Caenorhabditis elegans: one gene and its partner. The protein of the gene in region 1 interacts with the protein of each later gene in a pairwise test. Each region holds a gene or a part of one and is shown in the gene's direction. Other genes may lie near its edges. The genes, in order: pgl-3 and sepa-1.

Region 1 (3,918 bases):
TTATCACCATATTAAAATTCGAAATTTTATTAAAATCTGCATGAAACTCATATATTCAGAAAGTGAAAATATTTATCTATTAGCAAATAAGTTCAGGATTTCAAAAACTTCAGATATCATTGCTATTTAAATGACGATTTGAATGGTAAATGTCCAACTGAAAAATCTCTCAGAACTTTAAATGCCTGTATTTATATCAATTCGAGAGTAATTTCTATCGATTGTTGGCTTAATTTGTTGCTAAACTATTCATCTTTAAGATTCTGAAAAGAAAATTCAATTTCATAAAGAACCGAGAAAGTTATGCGTGATTTAGTCAAGTGCCCTCAAGTTTCGCGCCATTTCGCATTCGGCGCCAAACAAGATGTGTCCCGACAGGGTGGTAGAGCGCGAGTATATAAGGATGGCGCGCGCTCATTTCTCACACTCACTCTCCAAGTGACCACTACTCATCCGTTCAACAATGTCTGACGTCGCCGTTGCCGCCGACACCACCGAAACTCCAGCAGCCCCAACGAAAGCTTCAAAAGCTACGAAGGCTTCAAAAGCTACGAAGGCTTCAAAAGCTACGAAGGCCAAGACTACCAAGGTGCCAATGGTCAAGGCCGATGCCGCCCATCCACCATTCATCAATATGGTCACCGAAGCCATCAGCAGCATCAAGGACCGCAAAGGACCTTCCAGAGCCGCAATTCTCAAGTATATCACTACAAAATACACGCTTGGAGATCAGGCTAACAAGGTATGTGTTTTATTTAAAGCAGAAAAGCTAAATTCAAATCAATTTTTCTGAAAAATTTTGACCAGGTTTTTGATTACAATAACTTCATTTTTAACCTAAAAATTCTTAAAATAATAAATTGCCGAACAGAAAAGCAGAAAAAAAACTATGTAGAGATGACGTTCCCTAAATTTACCTTTCTTTCAGATCAACGCTCACCTCCGCAAAGCTCTTAACAAGGGGCTTGAAAGTAACGCCTTCGTCCAGGCTAGCGGAAATGGAGCCAACGGACGGTTCCGTCTTGCCGAGAAGACAGCCTCCGTGGCCAAGTCGCCAGCTGCAGCAAAGAAGGACGCCACTGGAGAGAAGAAGGCTACGACGACCGTCGCCAAGAAGGCCGCCACTGGAGAGAAGAAGGCTACGACGACCGTCGCCAAGAAGGCCGCCACTGGAGAGAAGAAGGCTACGACGACCGTCGCCAAGAAGGCCGCCGCTGGAGACAAGGCCAAGAAGACTGAAGTCAAGGTGAAGAAGGTCAAGTCGCCGAAGAAGATCGCCAAGTCTCCAGTCAACAAGGTCACCAAGTCTCCAGTCAAGAAGATCGCCAAGTCTTCATCCATGAAAGCCGCTCCAAAGAAGGCCGCTGCCAAGCCAGCCAAGAAAGCTCCCGCCGCCGCCCCAGAGGCCTAATCACATTGTGTGAATAATCAAATTAATTTCGATCTCACCATTGTATTATATCTCTCCCTCTTGTAGGTGTCCCAGATACTGGTTTTTTTGCATCTAATCATTATTTATTGTTCCTTTGACAAACCAATTCCTATCAATGAACCAATTACTGCATAAAGTTTCAGCGTTTTCTCGTCTTTTCAAAACCTTTCAGATTTTCGGAACAGTGTTCACAGCGGGAAAAGATAGATAAAGTCCCGGAACATCTAGCAGACAGTCTTCTTCACCGTTTGGAAATTTTTGTTGTTTTCCTTCTGGAAAAATTGTATATCAAGTTCATTCGACTGATCAAGCTCGATTTCTTAAAATACACAACTTATCGGCTTAACTTGCAATTTTTGCAATATTCAGATCTTTTTTCAAATAAAGCAACAAATTCTGTTTAAATTTACTCGCAATATTTCGAATTCGGTAATGAAAAGTACTTTCAGAGAACTTTCTAGATTTTTTTTTGAAAAACTGATTTAATTTTTAAAGGCGCACGCCTTTTCCCACGCGATGGGTCCCGACTGGAAAAGCCTCCACGAACTTTTCGATGATTTAGAAGTCAATTTTTTTAAAAAGTTTTTTGTGTGTTTTTGCTCGAAGTTTCTTATTTTCAATCATCATTTGGTGAATTTAAACATTTTACACGTAAAATTTCAGTGTTATTCGTGATTAAAAAGTTCACATGGAAGCAAACAAACGACAAATTGTGGAGGTCGATGGGATTAAGTCCTACTTTTTCCCCCATCTCGCCCATTACCTCGCGAGCAATGACGAGCTGTTGGTCAACAACATAGCACAGGTTTGACTGTAACTATTGGGATTTTTGTTAAATATTCTTCTTACAGGCGAACAAGCTTGCAGCTTTCGTCTTGGGAGCCACCGACAAACGCCCAAGCAATGAAGAAATTGCGGAGATGATCCTGCCAAATGACTCCAGTGCCTACGTGCTTGCTGCTGGCATGGACGTTTGCCTTATTCTCGGGGATGACTTCGTTGGTTTAATTCCGAAATGTTCTTGTATTAATAATTCATTTCAGCGACCAAAGTTCGATTCTGGCGCTGAGAAGCTGAGTCAGCTTGGACAAGCTCATGATTTGGCTCCAATCATCGATGATGAAAAGAAAATCTCGATGCTCGCCCGAAAAACAAAGCTAAAGAAGTCGAATGACGCCAAGATTCTGCAAGTCTTGCTCAAAGTTCTCGGTGCGGAAGAAGCGGAAGAGAAGTTTGTCGAGCTCTCGGAACTGTCGAGCGCCTTGGATCTTGATTTCGACGTCTATGTCTTGGCAAAACTGCTTGGATTTGCATCGGAGGAGCTCCAGGAAGAAATTGAAATCATCCGTGACAACGTCACAGATGCGTTTGAGGCCTGCAAGCCGTTGTTGAAGAAGCTGATGTAGGTTATCATGATTTAATGTTGTGTGTCTCAGGAGTGTTTTTCAGGATCGAGGGACCGAAGATTGATTCTGTGGACCCATTCACCCAACTTCTGTTAACTCCACAAGAAGAATCTATCGAAAAAGCTGTATCCCACATCGTTGCTCGCTTCGAAGAAGCCAGCGCCGTCGAGGATGATGAATCACTCGTCCTGAAATCTCAGCTAGGATATCAATTGATTTTCCTCGTCGTTCGCTCACTTGCTGATGGAAAGCGTGATGCTTCCAGGACAATCCAATCGTTGATGCCGTCGAGTGTCCGAGCGGAAGTGTTTCCCGGATTGCAACGGAGTGTTTTCAAAAGTGCCGTGTTCCTCGCAAGCCATATCATTCAAGTCTTTTTGGGATGTTAGTTACAAAGATTGCAAACTTCTTTGAACAGTTTCTTTTTCAGCCATGAAGTCATTCGAGGATTGGGCGTTTGTTGGCCTCGCTGAAGACTTGGAGAGCACGTGGAGAAGAAGAGCAATCGCTGAATTGCTGAAAAAGTTCAGAATCTCTGTTCTCGAGCAGTGCTTTTCTCAACCAATCCCACTGGTAAAATTATTCCTTCACGTGAACTTATAATCAATATTTTCCTTTTTCAGCTCCCTCAAAGCGAGTTGAACAACGAAACTGTCATCGAGAATGTGAATAATGCTCTCCAATTTGCATTGTGGATCACAGAGTTCTACGGATCGGAGAGTGAGAAGAAATCACTCAATCAGCTTCAATTCCTAAGCCCAAAATCCAAGAATCTTCTTGTTGATAGCTTCAAAAGTAAGCAAAAAGGCTTCTTATTTTAATCGAATAAATTTTACAGAGTTCGCCCAAGGACTGGATTCTAAAGATCACGTGAATCGTATCATTGAATCTCTGGAGAAGAGCAGTTCGTCGGAACCTTCTGCAACTGCAAAACAGACCACAACTTCCAATGGACCGACCACCGTCTCTACTGCAGCTCAAGTAGTAACTGTTGAAAAGATGCCATTCAGTCGTCAAACGATTCCATGTGAAGGAACAGACTTGGCGAATGTGCTCAATTCTGCAAAGATCATCGGAGAA
Region 2 (3,918 bases), on another chromosome or scaffold:
TGGAAAGCCTGACAACTCTCTACGGCGGATCGTTGCCACCATATGTTCAGAAGGAATTGGAACAGATTTGAGGATTTGGATTAAAATTAGTTTTTTTTGTTAAATTGCATATTTTTTTATTTTATTTTGTCTTGCGGTCTCATTTTTCTTCCCGATGTTCCATAAATAAAAGACAACTGTAAATTTGTGTGCCTTTAGAAACGGCGGGAAAAAAATCATTGCTGAAAATCTTGCTTGACGTCATAGTCTTTTAGAATGGGATTGCCAGGTTCTCTTTGAGGCAAATTAAAATGGGGCACGTTTCCAAAAGAAATCCGGCAAATGGATGTAATTTTCTCTGATTCTATGAATCTTCTGTCCACATTTGTAGTCCAATTCAAGGGTGGGCGGCAATTGCCGTTCGGCAAATTTTTTTGTCGACAAACTCGGCAAAGCGGCAAGATGCCGATTTGCCGGAAGTTTTGAATTCCGGCAATTTGCCGGTTTACCGATTTGCCGGAAGTTTTCAATTCCGGAGGTTTGCCGGTTTGCCAATTGCCGGAAGTGTTTAGAGGGGCTTTTTATATGACAGAAGCACTTAAAACTGTGCCTTTTTGAAATTTTATTCCGTTTTCTTTAGATATATTCATAGAGTTTGCTTATTTTTAAAAATAGATGTAGGAACATTCATAGGATGCGTAAAAGTCTGCTGAGTGAAATCGAAATTCTGAAATTTCCAAAAAAAATGTGCAAAACCACAATTTGCCCGTTTTTCTGGCAAATTTGGCAAAGCGTCAATTTGCCGGTTTGCTGATTTGCCGGAACTTTTCAATTCCGGCAATTTGCCGATTTGCCGGAAATTTTCATTTCCGCCAATTTGCAAATTCCGGCAAAAAATCATTTGCCGTCCACCCCTGGTCGAATTACTCTCAGGTGGATCGCGTCCTTGCTCAGTGTCTGGGAATTTAAGCTGACCTTGCTTTGTCTTAATAATGGGAGTATAGGAGAAATTTATGAAGAAATGTGAGAAGTACATGTAGCCAAGATATGGGCGGTGCCATATTCAGTTCATGCTCCGCCCATATCTTGGATACTTTTCTGTTCAGATTGCCGATAATTCTTTCTATTAGATCAGCAGCCGTAACATGTTGAGATTTACCATATCTGTAAAATCAGTTCCCAGAAATTTTGTTAAAAACCATCAATATACTACATTCGTTTGTAGATCTTCTCCTGGTAGTCGTCTCAATCTTACATCAGTCGATAAAAACATCTGCCAATTCCCACCTCTTTCCCGAATCTGGTATCCCAAGAGCTGAGTATCGATTTAAATTGGTTGCAGCGTTTGCTCCAGATGCTCTGAGTTGTCTTGAAGAGCAGAAGACATCATTCAGTCTGCCTGCATCGCCTCTAGTAGGTCGTTTTTCTTTTCTCTAGTCAGTCTCTAGAGCTCCTGTTTCCATTTTTTTGTTCTCGGCTATGAACTACAGTATTTGTTTCCTTTTTGCCTTTTTCAAATATGATGTATTCTTGAAATTGATATGTCCGTAGTTCCCTTTTCTAAAAGTGTATCTTGTAGTTACTTGTGGTTTTACCAAAAATTGGACAAAAAATATCAGTTGTACTTTGATGGTTTTATTCAAAACTTGATTTTAACACAAAGGAGGACTAAAGACGCTATTTATGCCCCTGATACCAAATATCGATGTGAAAAAAATATAAAAAATTTCCGTGATTTTATATTAATTTATTAAAATCCCAAAATCCTATTTAACGCCGAAATTTTCGTCAGAAAAGGCATCGCCCATAAAAACCGTACCGCACTTGTGGATTTACGAGATTCATATTTTCGATTCATTTTATTTAATTTTCAGCCCTAGCAGTAGCCTTACCTAAATTCTAGCCCACAAAATTTGTGCATCTTCCCGCCTAGTATTATACAACAATCTGTATTGATTGCTTATTCCCAGGTGTTCTGTACGCGGAGTTGGCGGGAGCATTTACCAATCGATAAACTTTACTTGATACGTTTATATGTCCTGTTGCACTCGTCGTTTTGTATTAACTCCTACAACACTTTTTGCTCACTACTTTTTCATTTTTGATTTTTTGCAGTGGTTCTTATACTTCTAAATTTCCTTTAAACTCCTATTTTTAATCGCGCCTGGTAATTTCACTTATCACTTTTTTATTGCATTTGTATACGTTTTCAATTATTCTTAATCTAACTACACCTTAATTCCAGAAAAATCTCCAAGATGACACCTCTTTCTGCTCTTACCTCCAATCCAGCGCCTTCACCTCCACCGAAGTTTGCACTCGGAAAGTGCCCTGCCACTGCTATCCACGTGGTCAGTGTTCTTCGCCCAAACAGACAACGCTTTTGCTATGAGAAAACGGATGCTGGTGATTTGATCCCTCACAAATGCCTCATATGCCAACCAATTCTCACCGAGAAGCACATTTCTCCGTACTACGCTGTCTACAGTGACCTACTCGAAGATTTCGTGCTCTTCGGGTATAATACAATGACCGGGAAGATGGAGCAGTTTATCTACGCTTTCAAGACGGATTGCTTTGTTGAAGTGAATCGTCCCGAGATTAAGTACAATCCGGCGTTTCTTGTTAAAGGAAACGTTGTGGTTGCTCTAAATGGTCCTGAAGGCGAGCTGGTCGTGATTGAAAGAGATTGCCGTGGTCTTCTCAGTAAGGAATCTACAAGTTATGGACAGTTCCGAACTCTTCCAACAGCTGCTTTAAGGACTCTGACGCTTCAAGATCTGGAACGTGATAGGTGGGATAGAGCCGCGAATTCTGATGAAGTCAAGATTTCATCAGGTAATGAGAGCTTTGATAGACTCTACGCAGAGTATCAGAAGAATCTCCCACGATTCCAAGTTCGTCAATGTCTGCATTTGAACAAAGAATTTCTATGCGTCTATTCAAAGACTAGCGGGGATTACACAAGACTCGAGTACATTGACGAAACAGGCGACTTCCAGAAGATTTCCTGCACTCTTTGCACATGTGAAGTCACCGAATCGAACCTTATTCCATTGTATGTGGAGCGTAATGCATCCGAATTGGTGATTCATGTTCATAACACCGAGAATAATCAAATCGAGCAGTACATCTATGATGTCCGTACATTTGGATTCGTTCAAGTTAAACGCAATCTAGTTTATGATCCGAAAAAGATCACCAGTGGGCTGAACTTGTTTATGGCGGAAAATATAGACAATCGCAAGGTGTATATGATCATGAGAGGTCGTGATGGAAGACTTCAGAAAGAAACATCTGGAAGTGGAGGCTTCGAGAAGATGCAGCCAGTTGCGGTGAAAACATTCCAAGTTCAATGGGTTGAGATGAAAACTGAATTCGAAAAGAAGAAGGCTAGCACGGAGCGAGTCGAGCCACAACATCCAGTTCAGACGGAGGGCGAAGATATAATGGAAACCGTGTTAGCGATGGTTGAATCTTTTAATTGTGACTTGAGAAAGGAACTTGGATTGACACAGGATCAAGAGATTCCCAGAAAGGCGCCTAGAGTGGAATCAGCTGAGACGGAAGAGAATATAGTGAAGAATCTCGAGAAGCTCCAAATTGCGAAGGATCCCGAAGAGCCGACTACAGCTGCTTCTGAAGGTGGAAATACATATGGGTATCAGGAATTGGACGATACGATGTCTGAGGGCTTATTGGAAAAAGAAGCAGAATCGAAGCATCAGGACGCCAACGAACCAGAGCCTGTGAAGAATGTCACCTATGAGCCGGATGTTGCAGCAATGGACAAGAAGAAAAAGCGGAGAGAGCTCAAGAGTCGGCTGAACAAAATTAATGCTCAAATTGACGAGTTGGAGAAACGAAGAATGGAAAGAGCCGGAAAGAAACAAGTCGTCTCAAGCTCAGTGCCTTCGGAAGAAGCTGCTCAAGTTGAAG

What was found.
Region 2: the proteins of pgl-3 (region 1) and sepa-1 interact in binary tests that used the Caenorhabditis elegans proteins (3 or more experiments, as listed by UniProt).

Annotation. Positions count from the first base shown.
Region 1 is NC_003283.11:4,753,890-4,757,807, forward strand, and holds the start of pgl-3 (Guanyl-specific ribonuclease pgl-3), read left to right. Parts: upstream 1-2,095; 5' UTR 2,096-2,120; coding exon 2,121-2,237; intron 2,238-2,283; coding exon 2,284-2,430; coding exon of another isoform or gene 2,431-2,434; intron 2,435-2,475; coding exon 2,476-2,834; intron 2,835-2,881; coding exon 2,882-3,222; intron 3,223-3,268; coding exon 3,269-3,411; intron 3,412-3,461; coding exon 3,462-3,633; intron 3,634-3,676; coding exon 3,677-3,918. Other genes in the region: hil-4 (Histone H1.4), read left to right, coding at 464-742, 929-1,411. UniProt on the Caenorhabditis elegans protein: Guanyl-specific endoribonuclease which cleaves the phosphodiester bond in single-stranded RNA between the 3'-guanylic residue and the 5'-OH residue of adjacent nucleotide, resulting in the formation of a corresponding 2',3'-cyclic phosphate intermediate.
Region 2 is NC_003279.8:13,299,021-13,302,938, reverse strand, and holds the start of sepa-1 (Protein sepa-1), read left to right. Parts: upstream 1-2,222; 5' UTR 2,223-2,237; coding exon 2,238-3,918. Other genes in the region: T04D3.1 (NTF2 domain-containing protein), read left to right, coding at 1-71. UniProt on the Caenorhabditis elegans protein: Adapter protein that connects P-granules in somatic cells with the autophagic machinery.